3 linked regions of the Saccharomyces cerevisiae S288C genome follow. The protein of the gene in region 1 interacts with the protein of each later gene in a biochemical or structural test. Each region holds a gene or a part of one and is shown on either strand. Other genes may lie near its edges.

Region 1 (7,502 bases):
TTTTCCGTTCATTTTTTCACTTTTTGATTTTATCCTTAAAACCCGCCCGGTTCATCACTTTGCACGCCACAGAAACCTCAGAATAAGCTAAAGGGTAATATAATAAAGCCCTTCGATTCAATAATAGCATTACCCAAGAGGCATAGCGGCAAACTAAGTTGACAACACAAAATCAAATCGCTTCATTTTTATTTTATTAATGATATTTTATTAGAGAGGAAATTATGTAATATCTAGATATTAAATATAAAGTAGATCTCTGTCTAAAATATTCTTAACAAAATCTTATATTCGAAAGGATGACGGTCCAATCAAAGGATTGTATAAGAGAAATTAGTTTTCGAAATCAATTTTTACTTGACCTGAACTTAACGATTTGCTCTCAATCCGCTTATTTGGATCTGGCTCTCACCTTCCGTCTCTTTCTCTTAAGTCTTCTAGTTCTCTTCTTTCTCCACTTAGCTCTCATTTGGAATTAAGTCGATATGACTATCTTAGGATTGAAGTAAAATATAAGATGAAAACAGAAAACAAGCGAAATTTCAAAGAGAGAAGTGAAACAATAATGACGGATAACAATTATTTAACATTCAGAAATATTACATTCGTTAACTCTCCATATATATAAATCACCCCAGCAGAGGAAGATGGGATTTCTGCCAGCAATGATGACGGGTAAATGGATAGCATCGCAGCTGCGACACCTTTTCCATGGTGCGACACGCGTCGTACAATGACCTAAAAATCCTAAAATAAAATAAGATGAATCTAATAAGGAAAGGTACTGGTGAAATGAGATAAGGGTGTACGGGTGTGGTAACCGTCGTGAAATAAAGAAAGCATTCTGAACGATGAATACTAAATAAGGGAAAGTGGAAATAAACGAAGTGTCGAAAGAGGAGAAGAGGTCTTGGCTTTCATATAGTGGAAGAAATTCTAAGCTACAACACAAAGTCTCCAACCACCTTTTGTTTAGTCAATTATAAAAATACTTTGATTGCTATTTCGAAACCGTGAGATTGCTGAGAAGGGAAAGTGAATGATATTTTTTTGCATTTTTTGAGGCGTTCTTTTTTTTTACACTGACAAATTTAATGGGGGATTCTAATTCCAGCCAAGAAGCGTATTCTGATACAACATCCACGAACGCTTCTAGAATCGCAGATCAAAATCAACTTAATTTAAACGTGGATCTTGAAAAAAATCAAACAGTAAGGAAGTCAGGTTCACTGGAAGCATTACAGAATGCAAAGATACATGTTCCCAAACACAGTGATGGTTCACCACTAGACTATCCAAAATTAAATACTTACACGTTTGTGCCTACCACAGTGCCGCCTTATGTTTTAGAGGCGCAGTTTGATAAATTAAGACTTCAGGATAAGGGCACCGTTGATGGAAATGTTACCGATGATAAAAATCTTCCAAAAGAGTTTAAATGGGGCCAGTTTGCATCTACCATCGGCTGTCATTCTGCATACACTAGAGACCAAAACTACAATCCTAGTCACAAATCCTACGATGGTTACTCTCTATCATCATCTACCTCATCAAAAAATGCGGCTCTTAGAGAAATTTTAGGTGACATGTGCAGCGAGTGGGGAGGTGAAGAACGACTAGAAGGTGTTCTACATTCAGAAATAGGTGCCAATTTAGAGTTCAACACGACAGAAGAGAGAAAAGAGTGGTTACAATATATCGAAAAGGTAAAAGATTTCTATTACGGTGATAATAAGAAGAACCCAGAATCACCCGAATCAGTACACAACAAAGTTTACAAGTCAGATTGGGTAAATGAGCTCAATAAAGAGAGAGAAAAGTGGCGGAGGTTAAAGCAAAGGAAGTTACAACAGTGGAGACCTCCTTTGACGTCGCTATTACTTGATAATCAATATTTGATTTTGGGTTTGAGGATTTTCACTGGTATATTATCGTGCATTTCACTTGCTCTGGCAATCAAGATTTTTCAAAACTCAAGATCAAATAACACCATCAGTGAAAGTAAAATCGGGCAACAACCAAGCACCATAATGGCCATCTGCGTCAACGCCGTGGCGATTGCGTATATTATTTACATTGCACACGATGAATTTGCTGGTAAACCTGTTGGTTTGAGGAATCCGTTAAGCAAACTGAAACTAATTTTGTTGGACTTACTTTTTATAATTTTTTCAAGCGCTAATCTAGCGCTGGCATTTAATACTCGTTTCGACAAAGAGTGGGTTTGCACTTCTATTCGCAGGTCAAATGGAAGCACGTATGGATACCCAAAAATACCGCGTATCTGCAGAAAACAGGAAGCTTTATCCGCTTTTCTGTTCGTTGCCTTGTTTATGTGGGTAATCACTTTCTCGATCAGTATTGTTAGAGTAGTCGAAAAAGTCAGTTCAATTACCAACAGAAACTGAGCTCGACAAATATAGAAATTAAAAGAATTCTTTTAGATACCAAGATTGACATTTATATGCATTGTATATTTTTGACTTAAAAAATTACTCCGGCTTGGCATTTATTCATTAACGGCGGGTTTGATTATATTAGGCTTTGTGCGATATAATATGTATTACCCGAAGGGAGGGCTATTGCACTTTCTTTTCCTTTCCGTTTTAAGGGCCCTTTTTCATTTCGATGTTTGATGGACACACATGAAGTGAAATGTGGCAAATAGAACATCTAGAAAAACTAGGGCATTAGGTAAAGTACCCCAGCAGAACTTCACTTTACAACGCAATTGATTCATATCACTGCTCTTTTATATTGTCCTTTTTCTCTTTTAGAGCTTTTCATCCGCATCTTCTAACTTCTGTGCACCCCTTTCATTGTTGATTACATTTTACCTCAGTTACACATTTCTTTTAGCAATTCGACATTGCTTCTACTTACCGATAAATAAGCGTACATTTTTGAGTCTTGAAAGGATTCTTACATATACCTAAACAAAGAATAACAACAAAATCGCAAGCAGCAAAGCATGTCTGAGACTCTGCCTAGATCTGATGATTTAGAGGCCACTTGGAACTTTATAGAGCCAGGAATTAACCAAATACTGGGTAATGAGAAAAACCAAGCATCCACGTCTAAGCGAGTTTACAAAATTCTTTCTCCAACCATGTATATGGAAGTCTATACCGCAATTTATAACTACTGTGTGAACAAATCACGCTCGTCTGGACATTTTAGTACTGACAGTAGAACTGGCCAATCAACAATTTTGGTTGGCAGTGAGATTTACGAAAAGTTAAAGAATTATTTGAAGAATTACATTTTAAATTTTAAGCAGTCTAATTCAGAGACCTTTTTGCAGTTTTACGTCAAGCGCTGGAAAAGGTTTACAATAGGTGCCATTTTTTTAAACCATGCATTCGATTATATGAATAGATATTGGGTTCAAAAGGAAAGAAGTGACGGCAAAAGGCATATTTTTGATGTAAACACCTTGTGCTTGATGACATGGAAAGAAGTCATGTTTGATCCGAGTAAAGATGTTTTAATAAACGAATTATTAGACCAGGTAACCTTGGGAAGGGAGGGGCAAATAATTCAAAGAAGTAATATTAGCACTGCCATAAAGTCTTTAGTTGCACTAGGTATCGATCCACAGGATTTGAAAAAGTTGAACCTAAATGTCTACATCCAAGTTTTCGAAAAGCCATTTTTAAAGAAGACTCAGGAGTACTACACGCAATATACAAACGATTATTTAGAGAAACACTCGGTAACTGAGTATATTTTTGAAGCACATGAAATCATCAAACGTGAGGAAAAAGCAATGACAATATATTGGGATGATCATACAAAAAAACCACTATCCATGGCATTAAACAAGGTCTTGATCACAGACCATATTGAAAAGTTGGAAAATGAGTTTGTTGTCCTTCTGGATGCCAGAGATATTGAAAAAATTACTTCTTTGTACGCACTAATACGCAGAGACTTTACATTAATCCCAAGAATGGCTTCAGTGTTTGAAAATTATGTTAAAAAGACAGGTGAGAATGAAATTTCGAGTCTACTGGCAATGCATAAACACAATATTATGAAAAACGAAAACGCAAACCCTAAAAAACTAGCACTAATGACAGCTCACTCCCTTTCTCCTAAAGACTATATCAAGAAATTACTGGAAGTACACGATATATTCTCTAAGATTTTTAATGAAAGTTTCCCCGACGACATACCTTTAGCTAAAGCTCTAGATAATGCGTGTGGTGCTTTCATCAACATCAACGAGTTCGCATTACCTGCTGGATCTCCAAAAAGTGCCACCTCGAAGACTTCCGAGATGCTAGCTAAGTACAGTGATATACTATTAAAGAAGGCCACCAAACCTGAAGTGGCAAGTGACATGTCAGATGAAGATATTATAACAATATTCAAATATTTGACCGACAAAGATGCGTTCGAAACTCATTATAGAAGACTTTTCGCCAAGCGTTTAATTCATGGCACTTCAACATCAGCAGAAGACGAAGAAAATATTATTCAAAGGCTGCAAGCGGCAAATAGTATGGAATATACAGGCAAGATAACTAAAATGTTTCAAGATATTAGACTTTCCAAGATCTTGGAAGACGATTTTGCTGTCGCCCTGAAGAATGAACCAGATTACTCTAAAGCAAAATATCCAGATCTACAACCATTTGTATTGGCAGAAAATATGTGGCCATTTTCATACCAAGAAGTTGAATTTAAGCTACCCAAGGAATTGGTACCATCTCACGAAAAATTGAAGGAGTCATACAGCCAAAAGCATAATGGTAGAATATTGAAGTGGCTATGGCCATTATGTCGTGGCGAATTGAAGGCAGATATTGGAAAACCCGGCAGGATGCCGTTCAACTTTACGGTAACACTGTTTCAAATGGCAATTTTGCTACTATATAACGATGCTGATGTATTAACCTTAGAAAATATTCAAGAGGGCACGAGCTTAACCATTCAGCACATCGCAGCGGCAATGGTACCATTCATCAAATTCAAACTGATTCAACAGGTCCCACCAGGGCTAGATGCTCTCGTGAAACCTGAAACACAATTCAAGCTATCACGTCCTTATAAGGCGCTTAAGACCAATATTAATTTCGCTAGCGGAGTCAAAAACGACATTCTGCAATCGCTATCCGGTGGAGGCCACGATAATCACGGTAATAAGTTAGGAAACAAACGCTTGACGGAAGACGAAAGAATAGAAAAAGAATTGAATACAGAAAGGCAGATTTTCTTGGAAGCTTGTATTGTGAGAATAATGAAAGCGAAAAGAAATCTGCCACATACAACATTGGTCAACGAATGCATTGCGCAATCACACCAAAGGTTCAATGCAAAGGTTTCTATGGTCAAGAGAGCCATCGATAGCTTAATACAAAAGGGATACCTACAGAGGGGAGACGATGGTGAATCGTATGCTTACCTTGCTTAATCATCTTTGAAGGCTTGTGCTGATCGAACGAAGCAAATCCTACGAGTAAATACATAAGCGTATACATATATATATATATATATATATATATATATATATGTATATATATATATGTGTGTGTGTGTAATTGTGTGTATTCAACTGAACTATGAAGAGTCTTTGACCTCTTGAGAATCTCATAGTATGAAGATATGGCACTTCTCTTTCCGTTGTAACATCCTTTACCGGGCGGCTTTTCGGCCTGCTTGAGAAGAGATCAGGCTGAAATGATGAGACTGACAACAAGGATCAGTCAGTGGCAGAGTTGAAATTCCGCTGGAAATCGTCACCAGCAGCTACCAGCTCCAAGAAATCCGCGTAGAAATCACGTCGCGCAATGTGCGATAGTGGTGGAACAGCGAAAATTAGTCACTTTGCAAAGATGCCAAGCTGATCGTTCTCGTTGTGTGTGATTCTACGATATTGCGCATGAGTGGTGTTGAGCATGCGTTTGTTCGCATTTTCATGCAGTCTCTTATATACTAATATATATATGCAACAGATTTCAAAATTTATCTTTCTTCTTGTTGCGTTTAGGCCTTTATTTGCTACACATTTAAAAGTGCAACGACAACCCAAGTAATTGTATACTTTAACAAACCATGTCTGAAAATAACGAATTCCAGAGTGTCACCGAATCGACGACTGCTCCAACCACTAGTAACCCATATGGCCCAAATCCTGCGGATTATCTATCCAATGTTAAGAATTTCCAGTTGATTGATTCAACACTAAGAGAGGGTGAACAATTTGCCAACGCATTCTTCGATACTGAAAAAAAGATTGAAATTGCTAGAGCCTTGGATGATTTCGGTGTGGACTACATCGAGTTAACCTCTCCCGTAGCATCCGAACAATCAAGAAAGGACTGTGAAGCTATATGTAAACTAGGTTTAAAGGCCAAGATCCTTACACACATTCGTTGTCACATGGACGATGCCAGAGTCGCCGTAGAGACTGGTGTCGACGGTGTCGATGTTGTTATCGGCACCTCCAAATTTTTAAGACAATATTCCCACGGTAAGGATATGAACTACATCGCCAAGAGTGCTGTTGAAGTCATTGAATTTGTCAAATCCAAAGGTATTGAAATCAGATTTTCCTCTGAAGATTCCTTCAGAAGTGATCTCGTTGATCTTTTGAACATTTATAAAACCGTTGACAAGATCGGTGTAAATAGAGTCGGTATTGCCGACACAGTTGGATGTGCCAACCCAAGACAAGTATATGAACTGATCAGAACTTTGAAGAGTGTTGTCTCATGTGACATCGAATGCCATTTCCACAATGATACCGGTTGTGCCATTGCAAACGCCTACACTGCTTTGGAAGGTGGTGCCAGATTGATTGACGTCAGTGTACTGGGTATTGGTGAAAGAAACGGTATCACTCCTCTAGGTGGGCTCATGGCAAGAATGATTGTTGCCGCACCAGACTATGTCAGATCTAAATACAAGCTGCACAAGATCAGAGACATCGAAAACCTGGTCGCTGATGCTGTGGAAGTTAACATTCCATTCAACAACCCTATCACCGGGTTCTGTGCATTCACACATAAAGCAGGTATCCATGCCAAGGCCATTTTGGCTAACCCATCTACCTACGAAATCTTGGACCCTCACGATTTCGGTATGAAGAGATATATCCACTTCGCCAACAGACTAACTGGTTGGAATGCAATCAAATCAAGAGTCGACCAATTGAACTTGAATTTGACGGATGATCAAATCAAGGAAGTTACTGCTAAGATTAAGAAGCTGGGTGATGTCAGACCGCTAAATATTGATGATGTAGACTCCATTATCAAGGACTTCCATGCAGAATTGAGCACCCCACTTTTAAAACCAGTAAATAAGGGTACAGATGACGACAATATCGATATTTCCAATGGGCATGTTTCTAAAAAGGCAAAGGTCACCAAATAGTTTCATTATATATATAGTACACATATTTCAAACATACACATACTGGGCGTTATTAGGTGTTTAAGTACTGGCGATTACCGTAATAAAATTACTATTTACGTCAACTTTATTCAATAAGC
Region 2 (3,903 bases), on another chromosome or scaffold:
AATAGATAGAATTTTAAGGAAAAAGTAATACTATCTGAAGTCTATAAAGAGCTTTTGAAAGCTGCTTCAGTAGTGCAAAAAAAGTGTATAGTAGCCTTTTCAAGATAACATAATGTAACTAGCGGTACCAAGGAAACTGTAAAAGAATAGAAAAACATGCGAAAAGGTCGTAAAAATGGTCATTAAAAGGCGGGAGGTAGATGGAGTTCTGGAGAGGATCATAAATATAATAAAGGAGTACCGATATTCAACTCCCGTATGGTAAAGTATCAGTCAAGCAAATCCGTTGCTTTCAATTAGGCTCTGCAAATCATCAAAAAATTTATCATTAACAACAGAGTCTAGTGTAGTTAAAGTTTCCTCTGAGCTATTTCCAAAACTTTCAAAAAACAATTTAACAGCTTCGATGTATTCAAAACCAAACATCTGAGAATAGTGATTGATGAAATTTTCAATAACCATAATGGTGTCCCTAATTTGCTTGCCGCAGGTTGAAGGGTAATGACTTTGATTTAAAGAATGTGGCTCAACGACGCCCGCATTAATAACATTGAAGAAAAATAAGCTCGTATCGATTTCTTCATGTTGGCTGATATATCGATGGATTTGATTGAACTCATCAAGGGAGAAAGGTGTAAACTGCGAATAGTAATGTTTTAATCTCTTTGCAAAATCTTTGATGGCAAGTTCATAAGGTTTGTCTAAGTAGTCTTCATTAAACGATTTATTGTGGATATTGTATTTGATAAAGCTTCTGTTAAAACATGACACCTGTAAGATTATGGGCACCAAATTGAAACTAGAAAGCTCATCTGTATTGAACGAACAAACCTCCTCAAATATAAATCTTCTTCTTTCGATGGTCGAATTTGTGGCGTCGAAGATTCCCACGTCACATTCATCGTTGTTGATTTCGTGAAACAACTTTTGCAAAGTGATCCTGGCATACGTTTCCTTTTTATCGTTATTTTTCGGATTAAATAAGTCTTCCGAAGATGTATTCGACAAAAGCAAAGGCTTTGAAATGGTAGCACAACTGATTTGCCTTCTTATCTTACCAGCATTAAAAACTTTACAGCGTAATGAATTAGTTAGCGGATTGTTCTTCAAACATTGAATTAAATGAGAAGAAATGGTAGACTTCCCAGTAGCTGGTAGCCCAATCAAAACAATCATAAACTTGTTAACTTTTCCATTTGTATACGTAGGGTCTGCATTGTCTCTTTTGTAATTCAGTGTAATGGGTAAGTGTAACGGGTCGTTAGAAATAAACCTTGGGACCTCTGTAGACAGCAGTGAACTTTTGTGATTATCGAAAAAAACAGAATCTTGACAATCTAAAGTGGCTCTGTCGAGAGATGCGCTTGAATAGCTGTTACCGGTGTTAAGTGAAAAAAGAGAATTCGAGGAATTATATTCGGAAGTCAAATATCCATCGTGAGAGTCTGAATCGGAAGAACCACCCATTTTCAAACTTCCAGCGGAAAAAACGCGTTCGTTATCCCTTTTCTTCCTTTTCCTTATATCTAAAATATTAAAAATCGCGTAAGGTAATTTGTTTCGAGGGCAGTGGAACTTGAAGCCAAATAAGAAGTATAAGTACTGGGCTCTCCTAGTATTTCCGGTTTAGTGTTACTCGTATATGAGCGTATCAGACTTTTTAACACCCTCTAAAAAAGCAAATAAGTTGGTTTGCTGTGGCACCAAAATAAGCGAAAACACCTTTGTTTAGAGCACGTCTTCTTTTATATAAGCCAATCTTCCACACGAAAAACCGAGTAATCCAATTTACTTTTTCTACTTTTTTTTCATTATCAATCGATTCAGATGCCCAGAGAAGAAAAAGAAAAAAAAGGAAAACAATTTCCGTTGCAGACTCATCTGTGCGCGATTTCTGTGAAAAGGTGGGGCACTTGTGCCTGGAATCTCGGAAATACGTCAATTAATTTTTGGTATATATTCCGATAAGCTATAGTTCGTATTTTTCCGTTCCGAGGGAGGTGTACGGGTGGACTACCACGTGCCTACTATACGCTATACGGTAGTTGAAAATGTATATAGTTACACAAATGATTTATAATAGTGTGGTCATTGGGACGACGATGGAGGAGATTGTGATCCGGTTCTTAAGGTGTCCTGTATGCTGGTGAGTTTGTCGTGTACCTGTTTGCATACTTGCTCGATCTCGCGAATTTCCCCGCGCTTGTATTCTAATTGTTCTTCCAATAGCATAATAAGGGACTCTCGGGACTGATGGGGTCTGTACTCATTAAGTAGGTGGTGAATATTGACAAGAATGGTCCTTATGTTCTCCACTTTGCGCTCATACATATCCGGATTTATGCTCAATACGCCGATGAGTTCCAAGTAATTTAGCAGGAGGGATTTCAATAGTTTGCGTAGCTCTTGGATTTTGTATTGATAATTTGTGCTTTCGTTTTCTGTGGATTTCTTATAAAGTTGGGTGAGTCCCATGCTCTCTAAATCGGGCAGTTGGTCCTTCACCTGCCATATACTCCCAAACGCTCGGTACTGCTGATTTTTGGGCATGGGGGGTGGGATTAGGTAATCTAGCGCACATGTAATCTCCTCTTCACTGCCGCCGTTACTGTTATTTGGAGCCGTCTGCTTCGCACTTGCGGCCTTCTTTTCTTTGTATTTTGGTAATTTTTCCAGATTGGACTGTGTGAAAAACTTCACGTATGGGGGTGGAGGTGGGTACAAGGAGCTAACCTCATTACCAGGATCATTGGACATTTTTAGTTTGTGAATTTTTTTTTTACTAGCTTAAATTTGGGATATGAAACCTCTTTTATGTCATATTTGCACGTCTAATGACCTGCCTGCTGAAAATGCAAGATTCGTTGTTTAAGTTCTAACTAACATTTCGTATTTCGTGATAATAGTTTCTTTTAAAGGTGTGAAGAGGGAGATCATGAAACCCACAATAGACGTATGGGCTTCAATATGTGCAATGTTGGTTGCTACTAAATGTCTTTCTCCAGTGGCAGAGAACTTTAAAGAGAAATAGTTCAACATGAGCAACGAAGTTGACAGGATGGATGTTGATGAAGATGAATCGCAAAATATTGCGCAAAGCTCAAACCAAAGTGCGCCAGTGGAAACCAAAAAGAAGAGATTTGAAATTAAGAAATGGACCGCAGTGGCGTTTTGGTCATGGGATATAGCTGTTGACAACTGTGCTATTTGCAGGAACCATATAATGGAACCATGCATTGAATGCCAGCCAAAGGCCATGACGGACACTGATAATGAATGTGTAGCAGCCTGGGGTGTCTGTAATCACGCTTTCCATTTGCACTGTATTAATAAATGGATCAAGACAAGAGACGCATGCCCATTAGATAACCAACCTTGGCAGTTAGCAAGATGCGGTAGGTGAAAAAATGAATTGCCCGTAAACATTTAAATCATACCGAGGTAGAAGGATTATGGCATGTTCCTTTTTTTTTAGAGTATGTCAACTGGCGCAGTAGATACATGTTTTTCTCTTCCACGTCGAATTTTGTTATATACATAGCATAATCGAGTTGTATGCACCCTTTTTGTTTATCTCGTTAGTAACTCGGGGTAGGAATAAGACATCCACAAAGGTGACAGAACAAAATCATCCTAGCCTTGTTCATAATCTACCTCTATATAGCCGCTAAAAAATTAGTAGTATTTTGACTCTTTAAGAGCACATTTATTATCAGGCTGCTTTTACATACTTCTTTTGTTTAAAACATTTAAAGACGATCACTGCCCTTCCAAAGGACAAATATATATACACAAACACTAGGCCAAAAGTTCACTTATAATAATTTAGTGGTAATTATGTTGGGTAAAGAAATTGCCAATAGTCTTTTTTTTCCGTATTGTAAGGTGAGACTGAGGTAGCGG
Region 3 (4,288 bases), 900 kb from region 1:
GATATCTGTACAGCTGCTGCTTCTATATATTTATATGTGATTAGCAATCAATATACCCTATTTTAGATGAATAATTTAAAGCAAAGGGTTAAGCTGGTGTTGAAATGCTCGAAGAAAATAAACTTGACTTAAAATTTAGACCAAATATTTCACAAATATGATTCAAAACGGAGTGTTTACAGCTATCTGTCCTAAATTTATCCCGTCTCATCATGTAAACAATAGCTTTTATAACTCAATAATTTTCCTTTTTTCTTCTTGTCACTTTTGCGGCTTTTAGAAGACGCCTATCGCTACACACGACGATGGACCACACATCTTATTGTAGTTTGAAGTTTATGTAAACTGTATACATATATAATTCATACATGCTTGGTTATGGTGGACTAACGTACACATTGCATGACAGCAAGCCTTGTTTGCTTATTTTTGCCTATCTTGCTCTGAAATGGCGCATTATCATCGGAAGAAAGGATCACAGTCATCAGAGGAAATGTAGGCTAACGGTCTTCAGCCCATTCATTTTCACGCCTAATGGCAGCCTCCTCCTCTGGAGTGAAGTCGTTGACGATATTAAACGTTCTTCTAATTTCCTCGGGAGACCTTCCCCTGATCATTTCAGCAACCACCTTGCAGCCAGCGTCAAGCAAGGGCTTGATGTTGAGGTAGTTTGCCGCCAGAATAATTTCGTATAGCATCTCTTGGTCCACTTTCAGGAATTCTCTGTCCCATGAGTCCACGGGAGCACTCTTTCTGGAATCGTCGTCATCTTCGTCAGGGAAGTTAGAGTCTCTGTGGTGCTCGGCCCATTCGATAACCTTCTGCAAAACGGAAGACCGAACATTGGGCACGGGCATCACAATCTCGTCGTCATCCTCATCGTCGTCGTCACCGTTATTGTTGTCTTTGCTTTTGTGGTTCGTTTCCGAGTCTGAATCTGATTCTGAATCTGAGTTGTTTTGTAGGTTGCTGTCATGCATATCGTTCAGATAGTTTTTCAATAGCAGGGATCTCTCCGCGATTTTCTTGTCTACGGTGAATCGTTCACCCTCACCACTCACTAGGACAACATTAGAAGTCACCATATCTGCGCTACGTTTGTTAGTATTCCTGTATTGTTTATAACGTCTTTTCTGTTATATCTTTGCCAACGTTGGGCTATCACTTTCTCTGCCCTCAATATATCAACCTATTTCTTCCCTTTCTCTTCTTTTCTCCAAGACGCCCGTTAAATCGCTGCAGGGTAATGTCATGTTACCTATTGCACACTTACTGTATTAAAGATTACGCTATATATATATATATTCTGGTGTGAGTGTCAGTACTTATTCAGAGATTAAGGCTTGAAGGAAAACGAGCTGGAGACGCCAAAGTTGCTGTATACGCTGGCGCTCAGATCATCGAGCGGCTGCACAGAATCCAGAGTGGCCAGGTATTCGTTCACGCTGCCGCTATGGGAAGACCCGGCAGTTGTTTGAAGCATTTCTTGGCAACAGTCTTTCATCGACATAGCGAAAACTGCCATTTGATACTGTTGCTGATCTTCTTGGCCAGGTTTTTTCTTGGCTATTGTCTTTATGCCGACCTTGTTCATTATGAAATGGAATGATTCATTTATTAGAGACTCTAACACTATGGATGTTGCTGTGCTTTCGATACATTGGGTCAGTTCATTCACCAATTGATTAAAAACTAGTGTGTTAGAGTGAAAACTTGTTAAAGCATCCGCGTCAAGCGTCTGTGACAGAAGAAACTCCTGTCCACTGGAATCTTTAGGAAGCAAAATAGACGTGAGGTTATTATTATTTTGCTGGAATATTTGGGAATTCGTGTTCCGGAATATGTTCGTGAGACGAGAACTAAATTCTTCTAACGTTAGAGTATCTCTTGGGTGTATGCCGTCAAATTCAATTTCGATTTGATTTGTAATTATTTCATTGTAACTCAACCACCCCTTGTTAAGAATCCACCATGATAGTGATAGGAAAGCTTGCTCATTAATATACACTTCCTGGCCTTCTTTCTTTGACTTTTTTGCTGCCATTACCATTGCATCATCCGCTTTGTCCTCCGGATCGCTCCACCACGATGTAACCCAGTTATAGAACCTATTCTGTAGTTTGTTGCAGTTTTCCTGCTGCATGGTTAATTTTATTGCGGAGTCCAGGTACTCGTTTCTTGTCAGGATATTTAGTTGCAGTCTTGTTAAAAGAATCAGCGACGATACTGTGTACGTCACTGTCACCAGCTTGATCAAACTCTTTAGTTCTAACTCGTTCCACAACTCAGCTTTACTTTTTAACGGCGAACTTTCTCTGCTTTCACTAGACTTTGCTCTAGTCAACTGGTTCTTTTGGTCCTTTAATTGGGTAACGATGCTGTCCAAATTCAAATCGTTTTCATTCAAAACCATTCTCCATACAGGAAGTAGCTCGTATATTGTGTACAACGAGTCTTCCTGTGTCTGCTCGAACCTTCTTTTGATCTGTTCTTTGATGAAGTGTTGCTCAGTAATCCGTAACTGCTGTTTATACAACCATCTCTTCACGAAAAACACTACCACCGACCCTGTGGTAAATAAAGCAGCTATTCCAGTCAATGAAATGAGTACCTTTCCTCGATGTCTCTGCAGAAGCGAACGTGATCTTTGATTTGGGGCCATCCTTTTAGTGGTTTGCCTCCTTGTTTCGTGCTTCTGCTTTTACGATGACTAGTATTAACTACCTCAATAATATACCCCATGCTCATATAAGTCGAATAACGCCCTTATCATTACACACGATTACCAAAATGCAAGGAATTTTTAAGGAAAAAGGGAAATATTCATACATTCACGCAAACTCTACTACTTGTTAACGACATCTTAGCTATGATCGCTCAATAGTGTCACTACAAACGCATAGACTACGACGTGTGGCAATAATAACATACCTTTTATATGTCAGAGGGAAAAGTAGACGAATTTATGGCCATCACTGGCGCTGATGACGCTGCTATTGCCACTCAATTCATCGAAATGGCAGACGGGAACTTGAACACAGCCATATCATTGTTTTTCGAAAATGGTGGGGCTGCTTTACTGAGCAGTAACAACACACCTACTCCGTCTAATTCGACTCCTATGGCGCCCACCTCTGTAGATTCAGATGCCGATGCACAATTAGCGGAGAGGTTGCAAAGGGAAGCTTACCAACAACAACAGCCTGACCAAGATTATGTCAGGCCACCTGATGAGGCAAGACATGAAGTACTTACTGAAACTTCAGGATTCCCAATTTCTTACGGCGGCATTGGCGGAAGATTTGAACCATTGCATAGGGTGAACGACATGTTTGACGAAGGAAGACCTGAAAGCATTTTTAATCAACGATTGGATGACACAAATACTAATACATACATCAATGACAACTCTTCAGATTCCTTGGACTCCGAGGAAGAAAATGACGACGACGAATATGAGTATGTGGAAGAGCCGGTCATCGAACTTGATGAAGACGGCAATATCAAGGAGTACACCAAATTAGTGAGAAAGCCTAAAACCATTTCCAAGGAGCAGAAATTAGCTTTGTTATTTAGGCCTCCATTTTCAATCATGTCCAAACTCGACTTAGACGCTGCAAAGCAAAAGGCAAGGGCAAAGCAAAAATGGATAATGATTAACATTCAGGATTCAGGAATCTTCCAATGCCAAGCCCTCAACAGGGATTTGTGGTCGTCCAGACCGGTAAAAACTATAATCAAAGAGAACTTCGTTTTCCTACAGTATCAATATGAATCACGTAATGCCCAACCCTATCTTCAGTTCTATCACTTGAATAATAAGGATGATTTGCCCCATATCGCGATACTGGATCCAATTACCGGTGAACGTGTCAAGCAATGGAATAGGGTTGTTCCCATTCCAGAGCAATTCATCTCAGAAATCAACGAGTTTTTGGCCTCATTTTCGCTAGATCCAAAGGTCCCTAATCCCACGGTTAATGAACCTCTTCCTAAAGTGGATCCAACAACTTTGACCGAAGAGCAACAAATGGAATTAGCCATTAAAGAGTCATTAAATAATAACTCGAGCAAATCAAACCAAGAAGAAGTGCCGAGTACTGGCGAAGAACAGAAACGAGTACAAGAACCGGATCCATTCAGTACCATTGAAGCCAGGGTGCATCCAGAACCGCCAAATAAACCAGGGATCACTACAAGAATTCAAATTCGTACCGGTGATGGCTCCAGACTAGTTCGTAGATTCAATGCTCTGGAAGACACTGTGCGTACTATTTACGAGGTTATC

What was found.
Region 2: the proteins of CDC53 (region 1) and HRT1 form a complex in vitro, tested with the Saccharomyces cerevisiae proteins (5 studies listed by BioGRID, with this or other methods).
Region 3: the proteins of CDC53 (region 1) and SKP1 form a complex in vitro, tested with the Saccharomyces cerevisiae proteins (4 studies listed by BioGRID).

The regions. Positions count from the first base shown.
Region 1 is NC_001136.10:221,333-228,834, forward strand, and holds CDC53 (cullin CDC53), read left to right. Parts: upstream 1-2,971; coding exon 2,972-5,419; downstream 5,420-7,502. Other genes in the region: 60S ribosomal protein eL41 RPL41B, read right to left, coding at 392-469; SRF1 (phospholipase D regulator), read left to right, coding at 1,095-2,408; homocitrate synthase LYS21, read left to right, coding at 6,061-7,383. UniProt on the Saccharomyces cerevisiae protein: Core component of multiple cullin-RING-based SCF (SKP1-CUL1-F-box) E3 ubiquitin-protein ligase complexes which mediate the ubiquitination and subsequent proteasomal degradation of target proteins.
Region 2 is NC_001147.6:67,288-71,190, forward strand, and holds HRT1 (SCF ubiquitin ligase complex subunit HRT1), read left to right. Parts: upstream 1-3,037; coding exon 3,038-3,403; downstream 3,404-3,903. Other genes in the region: PFK27 (6-phosphofructo-2-kinase), read right to left, coding at 274-1,467; mediator complex subunit MED7, read right to left, coding at 2,089-2,757. UniProt on the Saccharomyces cerevisiae protein: Core component of multiple cullin-RING-based E3 ubiquitin-protein ligase complexes (CRLs), which mediate the ubiquitination of target proteins.
Region 3 is NC_001136.10:1,124,934-1,129,221, forward strand, and holds SKP1 (SCF ubiquitin ligase subunit SKP1), read right to left. Parts: upstream 1,086-4,288; coding exon 501-1,085; downstream 1-500. Other genes in the region: PEX3 (Pex3p), read right to left, coding at 1,337-2,662; DNA protein crosslink repair co-factor UBX5, read left to right, coding at 2,939-4,288.